2 linked regions of the Diceros bicornis minor genome follow. The protein of the gene in region 2 purifies or fractionates together with the protein of the main gene of each other region. This does not show direct contact. Links are inferred from orthologs where the notes say so. Each region holds a gene or a part of one and is shown on either strand. Other genes may lie near its edges.

Region 1 (10,321 bases), on a different chromosome or scaffold from region 2:
CAGCATGGCTTGACAAACGGTGTGTCAGTGCGCACCCAGGATCCAAACCTACGAACCCTGGGCCGCCAAAGTGGAGTGCGCACACTTAACCGCTGTGCCACTGGGCCGGCACCTACGATATTTTTTTGTATCTAGTACTTCACTGACTCTTCACTAACAACATTAATATATAGTATTATCCATATTTTCACTCTGAGGAGCCTGAGACTCAGCAAGGTTAAAGACCACAGAATTAATATTCTTTGCGGGACTACGCTGTGAGAGAAACCTACACAAAGCAATTTAGGGAAGACCTCAGTAATAGGATCATAGAGTATCCAATAATTGCTATATAGAAAGGGAAGAAAAGAGCAAGGAACCAAAGATGGATATGGTTTCTATCTTATGCTCTAGTGTCTGGGCCAATAATCCCAGCATCAACAAAAAAGCAGGAAAAGAAGTCCAGGCATAGGGAGTGAGTTCAATGCTTGTGGGACATTAAGGTGGTGATTGATGGTTTAGTGCCTTCTCTGCAAGTAACTGTTATGAACTGTGGAGTGGGTGGGCAAGACTGGAGGGAAACTAAGAGAAGAGATGGGCTAAGTTACTTCCTGACCTGGAAGCGTTATCAGTTAGAAAGGTTTTGTTACTTGCAGCTAAAAGCAACCTAGAAGGGGCCTTCGGTATCCTATTTAAGCCCAGAGATAAGACAGTTCCCAAGTTGGCTAGTTCAGTGGCTCAAAAACATCATGAAGATATCAGATTTTTTCCATCTTTTCTATCCTCATCCTTAGAATTGCCTACTCTTATTTATTATTATAAATTCTGCCTCATGATCCCAGCATTGCTAATGGCAATTTCAGAGTCAGAAAAGGGCTCTTTCCTTTCCAGAGGCAGAATATAGACCTTAATAGCCCCTATTTTGGTTAGAACCATACTACTTGAGTAAGTGGTTCTTCTACTAGCTCTTTTCCTTGCAAAAGTTACTAAACCTCTCTGTGCTTCAGTTTCCTCAAGTAGAACATGAGAATCTGAGAATTAAATGAGTTAATATTATAGAACTTAGTGTCTAGCATATAGCGAGTTCTATATAAGTGTTGGCTATCATTATAGCTTTCCCATCTCTCTGTCTTTTTTTGAGGCTCTCACACTTTGGTGATACGTGGGTTAAAATATAAGCTGGCAAAAAATAATAAAACCAGGCAAATCTCTTTGAAATGAGGAAGGCTTTTCCAGAAGTCCCCTAGGCTTTTCTCCACATCTAATTAGCCAGAACTGCGTCACATGCCCATGCCTAAAGCAATCACTGCCTAGGGAGATAGAATTACAATGACTGGTTTAGAGTTTATATTAATCAAGACCCACCCTCTGAGGCTGGGGAGGGGATGCCAGATTCCTGGGAAGCAACACGGCAGAAATGGTGATAAAACAACCAGCATCTGCCAAGACTTAGTCTTGAGAGGCTGTGGTCTCTGATAGGAAGGGTCAGAATAAGTAACTTCCAGAGCTGCATGAAGCCTACAGGGCTCCTAATGGCAGTGAAATCACTACAAAGGTCTCTTAAGGCTAGTGAGAAATAGTATAGGATATAGGCCAGAGCTCAAGGAGAGTATACCTGAGAGGCAGTGAAATACAGCAGGTTCTAGATTCATGGAAATGTGACGCAGGCCCTGTTAGTGTCCCCAGCACTCAAAGGGCTTAGATCACCAGCCTTGGACTAGTCACCTAATCTTCTGAAAGCCTCAGTTTACTCATTTATAAATGAGGATAACCCAAACTATCTCAGATTTGACGTCAGGATTAAATGTATCCTTACACTAGTTTCACTCCCATGGTATAAGAATCAGCCAAAAACAAAAAACTCCAAACACACACCAATAGCTGGATGTTCAAAAAGACAAAGTGGCACAGGTGAGAGGTACCTGAAATGGAGTTGGAGAGAAAAGGAGAGGCTGCCTGACTCTAGACTAAAAATCTCCTTCGGGCCTCTGGTCAGATTTTGCTGCTCCAGTGAAGAACTTTCATTTCCAAGTCTACTAAAAAAGGACTAACTTTACTTCACACCTTATGTCTTGTAAGAGGTTTACGGGCAGCAAAATGGGTAAGAATCTCACTTCTGGCTTTGCTGATTACTAGCTGTGTTATCTTCTCTCAGGTAGTTCCCCAGTCTATAAAAATTGAGTAAACCACTACCAAATTTATTTCACTGAGCTTAATAAACTAAACATTAGCCACTTCCCTTTGAGACACCAGGGTTTCTGAAATTGAAGGCCAACACAAAAATCTATAACATAAAAACCCCTAAAATTTTTCATTGATACATAAAGCTGCAGTTATAAAGACAGGCCTATCAGTCTTAATGGAGGATTCTGGAAACCAGAGTGCTTAAGGGAAAGGAACTAACATTGAGGGTGGAAAGGAATCTGTTCTGATATTTATAGAGCCCTTACTAGACTCCAAACGCTTGTGTTATGTTATTTAGTTCTCAAACACCTTGATAACACTGCCCCCTCCCCTCTTTCTAGAGATGAGGAAAGGAAGGCTCAGAAAGGAAGGAACATAACATTTATTGTGGACTGTGCTAGATGCTTTCCTTATGCATTACTGCATTTGACATTTAAGTGACTTCTCTGGATGAGAGCTAGGAAGTGGCAGGCAGGATTAAAATACCAGATCTGATTCTGAAGTCACTGCATTGCAGCTCAAGGGAATAATTTTTCTTTCCTCAGAATCAGGAATCTTACAAAACTCAATCCTAGAATCTCATTTAGCCGCCCCCCCCCCCCCGCCCCACGCAGTAGCTGGGGTTAGCAATTCACTTTGGAGTTTTTTCAGTTTCCTTCAGACTAAAGATTTCAAAGTCGGCCCACCAGCAAAAAAAACAACACAGCAAACCACCTTTACAACTTTCCCTAGGGTTAAAAGCTTTCTTCCCCCCTCTTCCACCCCAACCACCAGGGGGCCAGGCCATAAAGAACAGCAGCTATAAACTAGGGTTCTGGAGTGATCACTCTGGTTTAGCCACTGTGTGACCTTGGGTAAGTTACTTTGCCTCTCTAAGGCTCAGTTTTCCCATCTGTAAAATAGGGGTAACAGTAGTATGTATCTCATTAGGCTGTGCACTTTAAGTGAAACGTGACATGTAAAGCAGTCAGAACAATGCCTGCACATAGGAAGAGCTTAGCAAATTTAATAGTTTTTATTGCTGGAGAGGAAATACCACTGACAGTTCTGTCCCTAAGTCCAAAAACTTGGCCATCGTATTCTAAGCACAGGCCTTGCCAGCTGGAGTCCCTTCAGAACGAGCAACAGGTCGCTCCTTTTCTCCTAACCAGGGCCGGGCGCAGAAACCGAAGTCCCCGACCTATATATGGCCACGAAGTCTCGGCCTTTGGTTTTCTACCACTACGAAGGCTGTCCACTCTGAGACCAACCGAACCACCCCATTTCCGCCTCGGCTCGGGAACTTCTCCCGGCCTTGAACGGCCCAGGCTGCCTTTGGCATGGCTGCCCCTGGTTACGGGCCTGGAGTTGGCTCGCCTGGCGTCTCCTCAACGGAGGACTCAACCCGCGACGTAGGCAACATTTCCCTGAGTTCAGGGGAGTCACCGAATCCAGTCAAGATGCGCGTCGGTCAAACACACGCCTGGAGAGAGCTCCCTTAGCACCGGCTGGGCCTGCCGCCGGGAGCCCGTCCCCCAGCCCCAGTCTCGGCGCAGGCCGGAGGGTCGGCACCTTTCTAGCCTCCGGGAACGCGTAGGCTCCGGCCTAGAGCCACCACGTGGGGGCTCCAGGCTTGACAAGGTGTCCCCAGAACCAGCCCCCGAAGACTGATCTCCGCATGGGCCCTAGCCCGGCCCCAAACTGGCCTGAGCGGCACTCCCGGCCTGGCTTCTCCCCTCAAACCTACTTGAAAGGGCCTCGGATATCCTCTGCAGACCGGAGACAGGCTCTCGCCAGACCCCTAACCCCGAGACTGCCTCAGCTCGAGTCCCCAATCGCCTGGTTTCCTTACTCACCCATCGCGGCTCCGCTCGCTCCTACTTGGCGGCGGCGGCGGCGGCGGCGACGGGAGCGGCGAGCTTCAGCTGCAGCTTCAGCAGACAATATGGCGGATCTGCAGGACGGCAGCCCGAAACGGACAAACAACTCAATATTCAGTCCAGCGAAGAAACGCGCTTTCAGCCCTGCAGCCTAGTTCACACCAAGGCGCACACTTAAAGAGACCGCAGCTATTAAAGGCGGGGAATAGGGGCGGAATATGAAAGGAGTGGGCGGAGAGAGACTGGGAGGGATGCCTACTAAAGAAAGTTCAGCGTGCCTGGGAGTTCCCAGGTTTTTCTGCTACTATTTCCTCTTTATAGTGAGATTTCCTCCCCTAGAAACTTTTTCTCCCAGAAAGATATTCCTTCCTTTCGTAATTAAAGCCAATCATAGACCCTTGAGCTGGATATGAAAAAGGAATCATCTGGAGAGGGGAAGTGACTTGCTCAAGGATATAGAGGTAGGGAAATGAAGTCAAGAGTAAACCCGATTACAACCCTATTGGGAGATAAGAAGTAGAAAAAGAATGAGACAGGTGCAGTGCTTTATAGTCAACAGAGCTATTTCATTTGTCCTTACAGTAAGCTCTCTGAAGGCAAGGGTGGGTCCTGTGTTGTTCATCACTGTATCTCCAGCACCTAGCACAGTATCTGGCACATGGTATGTGCTCCATAAATAATTGTTGAATGAATAAACAAATGAACAGCCTGTAAGTTACACAAAGCAAGGGATATGATCTCCCTTTTTAGAGATGAGGAAATTGAGGCTCTGAGTGTTCATGTGCCTTTTGAATCATGGAATTTATGGCTGGTACATAGTAGGCCTCCCTTTTTGCATAGTGACATGCCCGTCCTCCTGTCCTCCACCTCAACACACAGAGGAAGCCTATGTCTTCAAGTCACTGGTCCCAGAGGGAGATGCCTTTTGGAAGCAGAAAGAGCAATGTGGGCTTCCAGGTCCTGTCACAACAAATTGCCAACTCTAGTTGTGTGCCTGGTGGGCTCATTTAGGGAAACAACTCAAAAACCCCACTCTAGAACTCATGGTCAGGAAAGGGAGCACTACCTTTCTCTTCCTGTCACTGACTAGTGCCCCAAGGAACTCAAGGGTGGGTTTGGAAGCATTTAACTGTTTTTCCAAGTTGTGTTTTTATGTTAAGGAGACAAAACCAGCAACCACTCTGAAGCAACCAAGCCTCTTTACAAGAGCTATGCCCATGACCTTGCCTGATTTTTAATGCGATCTCTGCAAGCGGAGATTAAGCCTCATTACCATAATCTGCAGTGCATAACCCACCTCTCCCTTTTGAATATTCATTCCCCAACCGAAATAAAAGTTCCTGCTTCCCTTTGTTCGGGGACACCACAACTTGGGAAATGATTCCTCATGGCCTAGTATTTGTTGCAAATACACTTTACTTTGTGAGACAACTTCCACTGGTGTAGAGTCTTATTTAACTCACCAGGAGGCGAGCCCACTTGGTTTGGTATCATTCCTACTGCCACTGCTCAAGGTCAGACCTCTTCTTTCTCTCCTGGTCTATTTTGCCTGCCTCCTCACTGGTCTCCTGCCTCCAAGCTCTCCCACCCGCACCCACTATCTCCTTAAAATCAGAGACCTTTTCATGTCACTCCTTTGCTCAGCAACTTCCTACTATCTGCCCTTAGGTAATGCACAAACATTTCAATCTGACACACGGGCTGGTCCTTACTGGCTTCTTAGGCTGCTCCCCACCAGGCAACCCAGGCTCCATCCATATTTGGGGAACCACTTTTCCCCAAATATGTCCCTATCTTCTCTTGTGCCTTTGCACATGCTGTTCCCTCTGCTTGAAATGCAATGCCCTCTCTTTCCTCTTGACCATGGTGTGACCTACTCACTTTCAAGACTCAACTCTCACCTCCTTGAAAAAGCCTGTCTTTCCAGAGTCAGGGTGTCTGTCCTCTCTGCTCCTCAGTGCCCTGGACACATGTTTTCCTCAGCACTTAGCACCCTAATTTGCTCATGACAATGTCTCTCTCTGCTGGTTGTCTATGGAAGGGATAGAATCTTCCTCATCTTTGTATCTGTGCCAGCACCTGGCACAATGCCTTCCTCAACAGAGGCATCAAAAACGCTGGTTGCAGTGTCTGTCTCTAATACACCACCGTGGACTTATCTGCATATCCTGTGGCCAATAGGGCTCGGGGAACACGGGCAGACTAGACAAGTGGCTATGACTGTCTGTGTCTCCTCTTCTCTTACTCCTGAGCTCTCCATCCTATGCCCCCTAAGAGCCAGGTGGCCCTCCAAGCAGCTTTGTATTTCCACTCTAGCACTTGGCCTTGCTCACTCACTCTCCCTAGCCTAGAGCCATTGGTCCTCCCTGATCCAGTCCCTGCAGACCTTTCTAGCTCCAACCCACCCCCACCTCACTTTCCTTATCCTTTCTGCTCTAGGAACCACATTCTGCTTCCCTTCCCCCAATACATTACGATGTTCCAAATCTCTGTGCTATTACTCGTACGCTTTTCTCTGCTTAAGTGTAGACTCTGCCAAGTCTCCCTCTTGTCCACCTGGGAAGTGGCTGATACAACTCAGACTACCCCTCCTCCAGGAAGTCCACAGAGCATTAACCATTCCCTCCCCTGTAACTGTTACACCCATCCCAGTGTAGTATGACTTGTTTCTGTGTCTTGGCATCCTCACCATGTACCACAGCACCTAGCAGAGAGCAGGGTCTCAGTGACTGCATGCTGAGAGAATCAGGACATCACATTCTGCTAGGTTAATATGTCACCTTTCAGAAGGTTTTGGGGCCCAGCTCTACCTCCTAGCTGTGTTACCTTGGGCAAGTCATTACAGCTCTCTGAGCTCGTTCTTCATCTTTAAGAGAAGTGACAGCACCTACCTCCTAGGATTATCATGAAAGTTGGATTAAGACAAGGCCTATAATACACATAGAGCAGCACGGTACACAGTGAGCACTCAGCTAGCAGCAGCTGTCACTGCTACCATGACCTCTGGTGCCTACTCATCTCCTTTCCACTGGAGAAGGCAGAGCCCACAGGGGCCCCAGGAGCCACAGCGGGGCTTCCCCACCCAGAATCCCACACATCTGCTTTCTGCCTGACAGGCAAGAAGGGAAAGAAATACAGGACACAGGCTTATTGGGAGTATAAAAATAGGACTTTTGTTTTCCTCATAATCACATCAATTATCAAAGAAAGAAACAGTATGTAACAAAAATACAAAGCTCTGGTGGATTTTTTTGTCTTTTTTTGTTTTTGCCCCTCACCCATCCCTCCCCAACAGCCCCTTCCCAGGGAGCCCCTGGCTGAAGCCTGGATGCTGTCCCTGGGGTTGCCCTGGGGCTCAGGAGAACCGGTGGTCCAGGTCCCTCTGGGGGCTGGCCGAGTACGAGTAGGCCTTGCCCAATACCAGGCGGTCCCGCAGCAGCTTGAAGAAGGCATAGTAGTTGCTGAAGAGGATGAGCGCCAGTGAGATGGTCTGGTGCCACTTTTCAGAGGACATTAAGGAGTACAGCTGGTAGACAATGACGGCACCCTCCAGCAGCAGAAGGATGTTGAGGATCCGCAAGGGTTTGCTGAAAAAGAACTGCCCAGGAAAGAGTAGGCATGGACTGGAAAGTATATTCCAGAAACCTGCTTCTTGGATGGGAGTTCTGGGTGGGCCAGTGAAGAGGACAAGCTCTTGGGACCCCATGCAGACTTGGGTGGGGAAGAAGACTTCATAGTGATAGGCGCAGACTTTGCCACCTCTCTGCCTTTGCTTGTGCTGTTCCTTCTGTCAAGACTACTGCTTCCCATATAAATTGTTTAAGATCCTCTTCAACTTCTACCTCCTCCAGGAAGATTTTCTTGAGAGGTCTTACTCACTCTTTCATACTTTTTCTGGTCTAAAATCAACACCTTTTTACATGTGATCCTCCTGGGTACTGTCAGGCCTGAACAAATTAGAATCTTATGACATAGGCATGGAAAGTTATTATAGACTCTACAGCATGAGTCACCCACTACTTCATGTGTAGCATCCCCAGCTAGGCCAGAAGCTTCCAGGGGACATAGTGATACCTCACTCTTACTTGGTGTTTACAGGGCAAGGCAGAGTATAGGGACTCAAGAAAAATTTTCTGATCAGTTCAAAAGAGTAATCAACGTCTAGGGGATCTTGATTCTGCAGAGGTCAAGGTACCTAAACGTCAAAAGCTGCTTACAGAATGGGAGGAGAAGTGGCAGGAAATGGGAGTCCAAGAGACCAGTGTGCCAGGCTCAGCTCTACACCTGACAGGCTACAGGACCTTGGGCAAGTCCCTTCCCTGTCTGGGCCTCAGGTTTCTCTACTGTGAAGTGAAGAGATCAGCCTAGATCAATGCTTCCTCAACTAGGTTCCTCAGAGCCCGAGGTTCTGAGGAGGTCTTTTAGGGGCTATAGCAGTGGGAAGTGGGAAGTGAAGGGCATTCCAACTCTTTCAAATAGAGCAGTGCCATAAGGTCCTACATATTGGACTTTAATCTATGACTGTGTTGGAAAAAAAGATTTTGATAATAAAATAAATAAATAAAATGGAGATCACTAGCCTAGATGATTTTGCACAGTCTTTTCCACAGAGCTGAGCCCACGAGTCATTACCATCAGTTCCCAAGTTTCCCAGTAAGGCACCCTTGAACAAATTAAATTCTCTAAGCCGATTTCAGTATCCGCAAATGGGGATAGCCCTGGCATTTTTCATACACAAGGTTCTGTGACAACTGAATGGGAGGGTGCATGGGAAGTACTTACCACAGTGCCTGGCACACTAGAAGGAATGACAGTTACTATTTTCACTACCAAGAACCCCTCCTTTTATTGTATCGTCTTCCCCACCCAGTGTTTTCAAACATTTGCTACCAAGTGAGCTGCAGTTATGAAGTGATCATTTATACGGCTGTCCTTGTGCTGCACGTGTGCACTGTCTTCCTTTGGATTTGGGAAATACTGAAAATAGCTTTCTCTTGTATGACATCACCTTCCTGCCCTGCTGATCCTCCTGCCCTCTAGTCAGGCCCTCCCCATCCTTCCCAGGGGAGGAGACTCACGTGGAACCGGAAGTGGGAGACATCAGAGGGGATGGCCACGTTGTAGTGGCCCACTGCTTTGTAGACGTTCTTGCTGTGCTTCACCAGCACGCCCTGTGGCCACATGCATTCTTCAGTCCACCTGGAGGCAGAGCCCAACAGCATCCCTTACGCCCAGCTCACCCACAAAAGGGGATACCAGAAGATTAGGCACGGGGTGACCACCAGGGCTTTACTCCCATTTCTATCACTTAGACATAGTGACTTTTCTTTTTTGGGTCTCAGTTGCCTCTCCTGTAAAATGGGGTAAGAATCATGAGAAATCACTGCACTGGGAGTCAGTAGGTCTAGGGCTGACATTAACGTCTGAGAGACTGTCAAGAAAACCCTTTTCCCTCTCTGGGGTCATTTTCTTCATCTAGTCTCCAATAGTTCTCATCTCTAGCCTCCAATTGGTCCACCACACAGCTGCCTGAGTGGTCTTTGTAAAATACCAAGCTGAGCCTGACTATTCTCTGCTCAAAACCGTCTGAAGGCTTTCCAGTGCTCTTAGGATCAAGTCCCCAAGGATCTGGCATGGCCTCTGAGGCCCTGTGTGGCCTTCCATGGCTCCCACCACACACCTCATGCTCAAGCCATTCAGAACTGTTTCTAGTTCCTCCAACATACCTTAATGCTTCATGTCTCTGCATAAGTCGCTCCCTCCAATTGGACTGCCCTTCCTGATGCCTTATCCTTCTGGTAAGCTCTTTGCCATCTTTGAAAATCCAGGATGCTCCAGAAAGCCTTTCTCAAACTCCCCACAGAGTTCAGCATCCATTAACACCTCCTTAAATCTCCTGCTACTGGTCCACTTTCCCCAGTGTTTTATCACTTATTTATACTCCTGTATCCCTCACTAGTTTAGGAGCCCTTGAGGGAACGGACGGTGTCCAATTCATCTCTGTGTCCTCAGAGCACACCACAAGGCTTGGCACAGAGGAGCCCCAGTGAGCATGTGAATGAGGTGGTAGGACCAGTGAGTTTTCTTCCAGTGTTCTGCAAGATCTCCCAGGAACTCCAAGGGTCCTGGGCCAGAGGACTGAGAATCACTGTCTGCAAGAAGCTCAATCTCATGCTCCTGCCCTATTGATTCATTCATTTAAAAACAGTTATTGTGTTATATGCAACAACACGGGTGAACCTCACAGACAATATGCTGAATGAAACAAGCTGGACCCAAGAGTATCTACTGTATGATTT
Region 2 (9,810 bases):
AGCGTCTAGCACAGAACCTGGCTCAGAGAGGGCAATGGAAAAATCCCTCCTCAACAATCTACCAAGGGCATGTTTACTGCCTCCCCTCCTTGCCCCAAGAGAGCACCCAGCCCTGGCTGGCACCAGGCGCCTGTCCCCTCCCTCACCCCAGCCCGAAACTAGAGCTGGCGCCACTGGGTGAGGAATCTGGGGACCAACTGTCACAGCTCAGGTATCACCCGCCTCCCGGACGCCTGGGTCTGGCCCTGAGTCCCAGAAGGGCCCTGTCAGCCAGCTGTCTTGGGGGGCCCTGGCTCCACCCCAGCCCCTCTGAGCTGCGCTCCCTGGGGAAATCAGACGGTGCAGGGGACCTGGTAGGGGGAATGCTGGCGTGGTCCCAGGGGAGGAGCAGAGGTGTTTGTCTGTCCAGGTCCAAACCTCAGGCTAGGCCTTTAAAGCCCTTGGAGATCGAGTCCACAAGGACCCATAGTGACCTCCTCTCTCCTCCAATCTCTGCAGCTCTCCCAGTCCAGAAGACTGTTTTGCCCTCACATTGAATCCTGTTTGCCCATGTTCTCTGGGCCATGTAGGCCGGTTTCTGTGTCTCTGTGTTTCTGCTGAAGGCAGAGATCAAGTCTGCTATTTCCTTCGTATGTCCTACAGAATTTTACCCAATACATTCTCATTGATTGAAATTAATGAGTTGAGTGTATTCCAGCAACAGAAAGAAAACTGGCCGCCCTCTCAGCAGGAAGGATGATGTTTAGGTGGCAAGGTGGACTTCCCATAAGGGAGAGGTATTAAGAAAAGAAAATGGAAATCTCACAGAGCATGGGAGAGAGGAGGCTCGGCTGACTAGGACAGATGGAGAAGGCATTGGAGAGGAGTAGGAGATGGAGGAGATAACCTCATAAGGGCCAGCCAGCTTGGGAGGGCAGGCTTGGTGCAGCCTCCTGTCTCTCCCTCCCTCCCTAGGGGCTCTGAGAACCGAGCAGAGGAGGGGCAGGTGTTAAGTGTGTGCCCCATCCCTTGGTTCTGGGTGAATAGGCAGTGATAACAGGTGCCCAGGTTTGCTCGGAGGAGAGAGGGGACAGAGCTCCACACACAGACAAGCACTGTCTGGGTCACCCCCCAACTCCTGTCCTCCAGCTTCCACACTAACCCTGGGCCACCCCACTCTCGACTGGGTCACCCTTCCTGCCTGGCAGCCAGGCCTGTGTATACACACATGAACACACATGCAGATACTCTTGCACATAGACACACACTGCACATACAACCAACTCAAAAACTCCACAGCGTCCTCTGATCCTCAGGCCTGAGGCCAGGAGCCTGGCCGGTGTGTGTGTGTGCGCGCGCGTGTCTGAGAGAGAGTGAGAGAGAGAAAGAGAGAGAGAGAGAGAGAGTTCACCTGCATTCCAGTGCTCAACAGGAATTATTTTTGGAATTATCTGCTGTTTGTTTTGGATGATCTTATTTCTGCAAGTGTAGATTTAGAACTGACTTCAAGTGACTCACAGTGGGTCAGGATCTCCTCCAGCGCCTAGCACATCCTAAGCACTCAATAGGAGGTGGTTAGCTGAATGAATTAATGAAAATTAATTAATGAAGACCACAGTCTAGCTAAAGTCAACTGCAAAGGGAGAACAACCGGAGCTGGAAAACTAACACTGACTGAACACCTAAGCGGAGCCAGGCACCGCGCTAGGGACTTGGCTTATTATTTCCATTTTAGAGATGAGGAAACTGAGACTCATTGGGAAATGCTTGCCCAAGGAGCAGAACTAAGAAGCAGCATGTTTGGCTCTGAGGCCTCCTCCTTCCTCTTACACCTTGAAGCTTCGAACATGCAGTTACACTCCACACACCTTTACTGAGCATCTGCTCTGGGCAGGGGCATGTGCTGGGCACTGGGAGGCCAGGGTGGGGGACAATGACAAAGATGAGAGACACAGTCTTCTCCTCCAAGGGTCTTGAAGAGGAGAGATATGCCACTACACAACTTTGTGGTCATAAGGCAGAGAGTGAGGGGTGGGGTGGAGTGGGCACAGCTGTCTGTTTCCAAGCAAAATTGTTTAGGTAAGGCGTTTGGCCCTCACGCCTTAATTCTAGACTGAGCAGGCAGGGGGAGGGAGGAAGAGGAGGGCCCATGGACAGAAACCTAGCTTGGCCAACACAAGTCACCTCCACAAAGGAGGCCACTGGCCTCTGGGAGCGAGGCAAGGACACATCAAAACCCCCCCTGAGAACCCGGCTCCTCAAGGTGCCCACCCTCGGGCTCCTCCACCACCTTCGCGCTCTGGTAGTCCCGGCGGTGGTGGATATACCCCCACAATCTGCAGGCACACACTCCCATGTGTCTGCCCACGCCACAGACCTAAGTGCTCACACACAGCCTGCCCTCTACGTGCCAGGTCCCGCTCGCCTCTCCTGCCTTGGATATCTGTCTGGAGTCGCAGCGGGACACCGAGGGTGGACACGTGGCAAAAGAACGCACCCAGGGGGCTGATTTGTCCTTGCTGGATCAGTGAGGGGGGTCCAGCAGGGACCGCAGCCTCCCCACCCCACCCCTCAGTCTACCCCTTCCCACTCAGCAGCTGTCCCCCTCCCCGCTCGCACACACTTGTTTCTGTCCTTTGTTTTCCTCCCCAGCCAAATCCCCAAGGCTTCTTTGGTCATTAACCTCCCGCTTTAATTAGCTTAGTGGGGAGGAAAGTGGAAGCAGGGCAAATTCAGGGGTGGGTGTCTAGAGGGACAGGAAGGCTCAGACCAACTGGAGACAAAAATGCCTGGCACACAATCAGTCCTGTGCAACTGTTGGCTATTTCTATTAATGTGAAAACCAGTTCCCTGGTCCACAGAGCAGGAACCTTACCCCAACGAGAGCCCCACAGTCCCGAGTACCACAGTTCCCCCAATCCAGGTTCCTGGGGCAGAAGGAAAGGGAACGAGAGTAGGGACAGCCCACTCCCACAGGGCCTTGTCTCTCCAATTCTTCCTCTCCTGCTCTTGCTTGGTGGCGGTAGCGCCCAATCCCACAATAAGGTTTGTAGTTAATCTTATGTTAAATCCATGATCCAGAGGGGACCCTTCCCCAACTCTGGGGCCTTCTGGGGTTCCTCAGTCATGGCTCCCCTTCCCTGATCTTCTGCCTAGCAAAGGAGCAAGAGCCAACCCCCAACCCCTCCTGAGATCCTCCACCTTGGCTCCCACCCTCCCATTGGTGTGCAAATTTCTTCTTTCCAAGAATCAATTTAGGGAACTGGGCTTCGCAGTTCAGCCCTCAAGGCCTCACAGTGCCAGGTCTATGAGGTCATCTCATCTGTTCCCCTGCCTCCAAGCAGGACTTTACCTCACAAACTAGCTCAGATTTTTGGTTTCCAAGGCACTCCAGAAAAGGACAGCTTACCACTGTAGCTCACCCACCCATTCGTATAAAACTCTTCTTGGGAAGTTCTTCTTAAAGTCTGATCTCAAGCCCTCAAGCTGCAGTGCTATCCTTTCTCCTCTTGGGAAAGACCCAGGCATAAAAAGGGTGACAAAAAATAAATGCTGAAGATATGGGCTAAGGGGAGAAGAAAAGATTGCATTACACTCCAACTTCCCCAAACTCCCCCTAAAAGTACCCAACTGTCCATTTCATGCCTTAAAAACTTATTTTTACTTTCACCAATTTCCAGAGTCAAAGAAGCTGAATTAATGGGTTTCCAATGGGGGAGACATGGGCGAGGCAAAGTGGAATGATGATGGAGGTTAAGGAACAGATCACCTCCAAGCTGTATGCATGGCCCAGGCCTGAAGGAAGTCTGGGTCCTCAGTCGATCCCGTGTCTCCTCCCTCCTGTCGCACTCAAAGCTTATGGCTCTCACCCGAAACTGTTAAGTCACATCATGCCTTTAAGACTTCCCCTGCCTCCTCGCTCTCTGCCCCCCACTTCTCTCCTCTCCCTCCACTCCCTCATCCTCCTCACCTCATCACTCCACAGCCCTCCCAGCTCCCCTCCGCTGATCAGAAGGACGTGAACTAACTCACCTCCCAGTCGGTGCCTCTCAGATCTCCGAGACTGGGGGGCGGGAGGGGATGAGGGGGGATGGCTTGCCGCTTGAGGATGAGAGGACCCCGTCTTTTGCCAGGGGGTCCCACCCTCCAGCCTGGCACCGCATTCTGGTCCCCACAGCGCGCAGAGCCGGGTTCTCCCCGCATCGCGGTTGCGGGCTTTGTCTGCTTTGCGGAGAACCTCTCCCCGCGGCCCCGAGCCGGGATCGACTCTGGAAGAGCGGGAGGGGGAGAGCGGAGAGGGAGCGCAGCAGGGAGGGGGAAGAGGGTAAAGACAGAGAAAGCCGCAGTGACCCAGCCGGGACTGCTCCCCCCCCTCTCGCCCCCCCTCATTATCATAAGAAAGAGGGACCCAAGACTGGCCGGGATCCGGAGAGAGCCCGTCTTGGGAGAGGGGCGCGCTCCATTAGCCTTTTTTCAATCCGTTCCTTTTCTGTACACTGATTCCTCTCCCGTGCCCGCGCCTTGGAAAAATTAGGGACCTCGACTTCCATCCCACCCCCAGCTTTGCCTCCGAGCCGTGGTTAAAGACCGAAGGCAGATCCCTATCCTCCTCGGGTCAAGGAATTCGTCCCTGCGCCCCCGAGAGCGGGAAACTACAACTCCCGGCATGCCCCGGGCGCCCCCGGCGCGCCCCCCTCCCGTCAGTTCCATGCTGCTCCATCCAGTTCATTTAAAACAAAAGAGTTTGAGCGCTGGAAGGGGCTGGGCTCTATTGGGGGCCACTGAGCGCCGCTCCTGGACTGGGGCTCGGTACGGGAGCCTAACGGGGGCGTCTGGACGGCGGGGTCTAGAGACTCCCGGGTCCGAGGCGGGAGGGGTGGGGGCAGAGATCCCGCAGCCCCCCGCCCCCCGTCAGCCCCGGAGAGGAGAGGAGATCTGCCTTCTGGGTTTTGCTTCTCTTTCCCCCCACCCCCACCCTGGGGGCTGGGGCGAGGGGAGTCGGGTTACAGGGTGTTTGGGGAGGGGGGCTTAGGGGGAGGGTCTATCTTTCTATCTCGCTTTCTTCCCCCCTCCCCAGTTCTTTGTTCCCCCTCCCCACACACCCCCCTCCTCTCCTCTCCCCTCCCCTCCTCTCTCCTCTTTTCCCTTCCACCACCTCTCTCTCTCTCCCTCTCTCTCTCTCCCCCAGCTTTTGTTTCGCCATGCCTAGTCTAGTGGTATCTGGAATAATGGAAAGAAATGGGGGCTTTGGAGAACTAGGATGTTTCGGGGGAAGCGCTAAGGACCGAGGGCTGCTGGAAGACGAGCGCGCCCTTCAGCTGGCTCTCGATCAACTCTGCCTCCTGGGTTTGGGGGAGCCCCCCGCCCCCACGGCGGGCGAGGACGGGGGAGGTGGGGGGGGCGGCGCCCCCGCGCCGCAGGCCGCCCCCCCGCAGCCGGCCCCGCCGCCGCCGCCGGCGGCGCCCCCGGCCGCCCCGACGGCGGCCCCCGCGGCGCAGACGCCCCAGCCCCCCACCGCCCCCAAAGGGACCAGCGATGCCAAGCTCTGCGCTCTCTACAAAGAGGCCGAGCTGCGCCTAAAGGGCAGCAGCAACACCACCGAGTGTGTACCCGTGCCCACCTCCGAGCACGTGGCCGAGATCGTGGGCAGGCAAGGTAAGCGGGCGCCCGGACCGCGGAGAGGGACTGGAGTGGGGGGCACCCCATCCTAGCGCAGAAAGTTCATTTCCTCTCTCCTTGCCTGCCTCTGGCTCGGTCCCTTCCCCACAAAGGGGGACCCGCCCCCTACCCTGATTTCCAAGTGCCACAAAGTTCCCTGCTACCCCCAGTCGGGACTGTCCTCCAGATCTTTCCTCCCCCAGGGCTCTGCCCTTAGACAAAGAAATATCCTCTCATAGAGAGAGGGAAAAGGGAGGGGGAATCGGTCTCCCAATCCAGGGAGGCTGTCCGGAGGGGGTGTCCACTCCCAGCCGGAAAAACTGGTGGAATGTGCAGAGAGTTACTCAGAAGCCCCTACTCTGATATCTGAGAGTGGGTTGGGGAGGGGGCACCCCTGGGACCTTCAGCCACCTGGAGTTACAGACTTGGAGGGAGACCTGGCCCGGGAAGCCAGATTATCTGTCTCTTTGTTGGGCTAAGTGTAGGAATGGAAGGGGGTGTGGCTCATGGGAGGGTCCCAGCCAGGGGGAGAGGTGGGGAGGGGGCTGCTGGGAGGAGGGAGTCCTGTGGTCACCCACACACCAAAGTTGAACGGTCTGTGAGGTTTTGGAAGGGGTGCCTCCAACGAAGTGCCACGTCCTGGCGTGGACCTCTCCTCCTCCCTCTCAAGCTTTTGTTCTGGGCTGGCCACGGCCAGGGGCCAGAGGCCTGGAGAGGGGGTCTCTGGTCCTGAGAGAGTAGGACAGAGTGGGGGGGGGTCATGCTGGGGGGTAAGAAACCTTTCCCTGGAGGTTTGGTGGAGGGTGTGTGTCTGTCTGGGTGTGTTGTTGGGTGAGGGGGTGTAGAATTAATCCAGTGTAGTATGTCTGATACCACACCCTCCTCCGTTCCAGCATCTCTGGGCTAGTGGGGGTGGGAGTGTTGGTGAGGGTCCAGACTGAGCAGAGGGGGTCTTGGGGACCCTTCCCTCTCCTGGTTTCCCAAAGGGGAGTGTGTGGGGGGTGGGATTTGGCAATTGCAAGGGGGCTGGGCTGGGGAGGTGTTGGGTGGGGGAGGAGCAGGGGAGGAGCTGTCCCACCGTGGGGAACAATAGAGGAGCTGCATTCCGGCTGTGAGTGAGGGAGGAGGCCGGCTGCTGGCAGGGGAAGAGGGGAGGCGAGCCAGGGGGCCCCTTACTCCACATCCCACCTCATCTACCCGGAGTGCTGGGGGTTGGGGGGATTTTGCAGGGAGATCCGGAATGGAGGAGGGGAAGATGCCACTCCCCTGCACAGCCCTCATCCCCCTGGGGCACTCCATCTCTTGAGATTTCTGGTTTAAAAAGTTGGATTTCCTCTTGTTGCCAGAAACTAGGGACCCAGAGCCCTGGAATTGGGTGGGGACACTGATATCTTTTCTTGGATGTGGTGGTGATCTTGGGAGGCCCCAGAATTTCATGGAGTCATTCTTTCCTCTTCTGCCTCCGCATCAGATGGGCCTGTCTCTCATAAAAGTAGGGGGATTTCTCCTATTCAGAGAAGATAAACCGCCCCCTCATTCCTTAAGTCTATGGAAGTACTCCCTCTTGTCTAACCTCCCTCCTCCTGCTGCAGTGTCAGTGCTCCTCTATTTGACCTCCAGGAAGGTGAAGCCCAGTGAGTCTTCCCTTCAAAAGATGCTTCTTCAGAGTTTTGAAACCCAGGCTGAGGTCCACCATCAGTTCTGCACCTCCGGGCCTCTAGCTTTTCTCCTTCCTCTTATGCCTGAGCTGTCCTCCTCACCCCAGCCCCAACCCCCAAAGACACCTAGCTCTCACTTAAATTTATGGACCCAAAACTTAGTGCCAGAACCCAGGTGCCTATCAGATGCCATGTGAGCAGAAGTTGTAGGCAAGAGGACTTCACTGTTCCTCAACCCTCCATGCCTCACAAATGGAACAATCATTTACTGACAGTAAAGCAGCAGGGATGTGGGTTTGACAACAGGTAGGACTTCTCAACTGCCAAGAGGTCTGAAGACAAAAAGGGGGGAGCAAATTCTCTTTCCTGAGGTCTCTTGAAGGTGAGGAGAGCTGCCCTCAACCTACTCTATCCTCCCACCTGCAAATCTGGTAGAGTTGGAGAGGAAGCCATCTGGAGTGGAGGAAGGAGAGGGAAAAAATGAGCTCACCTCAGGCCTGTGGTTGGAGGGTTGGGGCAGAGTCAGAAAACTAGGACTACTGGCGTTGGTTTTGGGGGGGGATAGGTAGTGTGGTGGGGGAGTGAGAAGGGGAATGGTGAGTATGTACCTGGAGAGAGGTGTGAACGTGTCTGGTTGTGAATGGGGGCAAAAGTAGTGGGCGTGTATAGGAATGTGCTGTTTGTGTGCTGGGGATGATGGGGATGGAAGAGTGGGAAGTGTGAAAGGTTGAAACGCGGGGAATCCGTGTGTGTTTGTGTATGTGTGTGTGAAAGGGGTGTGTGAAAGTGTGTATTAGGCTTGCACCACAAGTATTGTTTAGGTAAAGGCACACAGTGCCTCACAGCTCTTAGGTCCGTGTGCGCGCGCGCACACACACACACACATGTGGCATGTGTGCTTTGAGAAAGCGTGTGAGTCTCTGAGGCTCTGTGAAGCTCGGGGCAGGGAGAGGGAATGTGGGAAAAGAGGAGAGAGGCTTGTCCAGTCAGCCATTGAGGTCTGCAACCTTTAGTGATGGTATGGCCATCCCAGCCTCCCTCACTCTTCTCTTTCCCCTTCTCTCTCTTTGTTTCTCTTTGTCTCGGCTTTCTTCTTTCTCTTCCTGCCTCTCTCCCCAACCTCCCAGCTTTAACCCACTCCTACTTCAAAGCAGGAGTATAGGTCCAGAATACCTTCCCCCTCAGCCCTGCTCAGCCCCAGCCCATGTCAGCTCTCCTGCCCCCAGGGGGACAGGGTGGCAGGAGTGTCCATAAGGTCTGGTGCTGTCCCTCACAAGTCATTATCTTTAACTTCATACTCCTCCTTTCTCCCTTGAAACTCTGATTCTCAGACCCTTCCCAGTCTCCCACCTCCACTAGTTGCTGCAAACTTGCTATGAATTTGGGACCCACTGAGAGACACTAATGGGCGGAAGGCACGGGGGCGTGGATCACAGAGCAGATGGGGGTCAGGGGTCCCTGAGTAGATTGGAGGACACTTGTAGTGAATGGAGGTCAAGTGAGGAGTGGATTGTGGAGTCACTGAGTGCCTTGGGGTTCTGTGGGAAGATCATGGTCAGTGACAGATTGGCAGGGGTGATTAAGTGATTTGGAAGTTTGTGAGTAGCCAAGAATCAGTAGAGAAATTGAAGGAACAGCACATGGTTGGGGAGGAGTTCGTGAGTTGATTTGAGGTTAGCAGCTTGTCTGGGAGGGTCAGTGATTATTTCTGGGCTTCAAGGAGTAAATGAATTTGGAGGGCTCTGAGTGGAATTCGAGGGAATTTTGGTACATTTTGACATCTGTGGTTGATAGAGACGTTGGGTATATCTGAGATACATGAGTGGATTGTTCAAGTCAGGGTATATTGGCGGCGGGGTTCAAAGGGTAGACTGAGGGGTTCTTGGGGGCTGGGTATCTGAGTAAGGATCAGGAGCTTATTGGTCTCAGCACAAACCTTCTTGCCTTGTGAGTTTCTTTTTCTCTCTCCCTCCCCACCCTATCCCAGGCTGCAAGATTAAGGCTCTGAGGGCCAAGACCAACACCTACATCAAGACGCCTGTGCGAGGCGAAGAGCCAGTGTTCATGGTGACCGGGCGGCGGGAGGACGTAGCCACAGCCCGACGGGAAATCATCTCAGCAGCCGAGCACTTCTCCATGATCCGCGCCTCCCGCAACAAGTCGGGCGCCGCCTTTGGCGTGGCGCCTGCTCTGCCCGGCCAGGTGACCATTCGTGTGCGAGTGCCCTACCGCGTAGTGGGGCTGGTGGTGGGCCCCAAGGGGGCAACCATCAAGCGCATCCAGCAGCAGACCAACACGTACATTATCACGCCAAGCCGCGACCGCGACCCGGTGTTCGAGATCACGGGTGCCCCGGGCAACGTGGAGCGTGCGCGCGAGGAAATCGAGACGCACATCGCGGTGCGCACAGGCAAGATCCTCGAATACAACAATGAAAACGACTTCCTGGCGGGGAGCCCAGATGCCGCGCTCGATAGCCGCTACTCGGAGGCCTGGCGGGTGCATCCGCCGGGCT

Evidence for each region. The genes of interacting proteins can lie anywhere in the genome.
Region 1: the proteins of LMNA (region 2) and KPNA6 purify together in Homo sapiens (affinity purification with mass spectrometry; 4 studies listed by BioGRID and IntAct, with this or other methods). This does not show direct contact. The link is inferred for Diceros bicornis minor from reciprocal best matches to the Homo sapiens genes LMNA and KPNA6.

The regions. Positions count from the first base shown.
Region 1 is NC_080752.1:46,917,092-46,927,412, reverse strand, and holds the start of KPNA6 (importin subunit alpha-7), read right to left. Parts: upstream 4,143-10,321; 5' UTR 4,003-4,142; coding exon 3,999-4,002; intron 3,959-3,998; exon of another isoform or gene 3,890-3,958; intron 1-3,889. Other genes in the region: TMEM39B (transmembrane protein 39B), read right to left, coding at 7,378-7,620, 9,101-9,221. UniProt on the Homo sapiens protein: Functions in nuclear protein import as an adapter protein for nuclear receptor KPNB1. Binds specifically and directly to substrates containing either a simple or bipartite NLS motif.
Region 2 is NC_080743.1:59,723,909-59,733,718, reverse strand, and holds the start of LMNA (lamin), read right to left. Parts: upstream 4,238-9,810; 5' UTR 4,012-4,237; intron 1-4,011. Other genes in the region: RNA-binding protein MEX3A, read left to right, coding at 5,181-5,634, 9,283-9,810.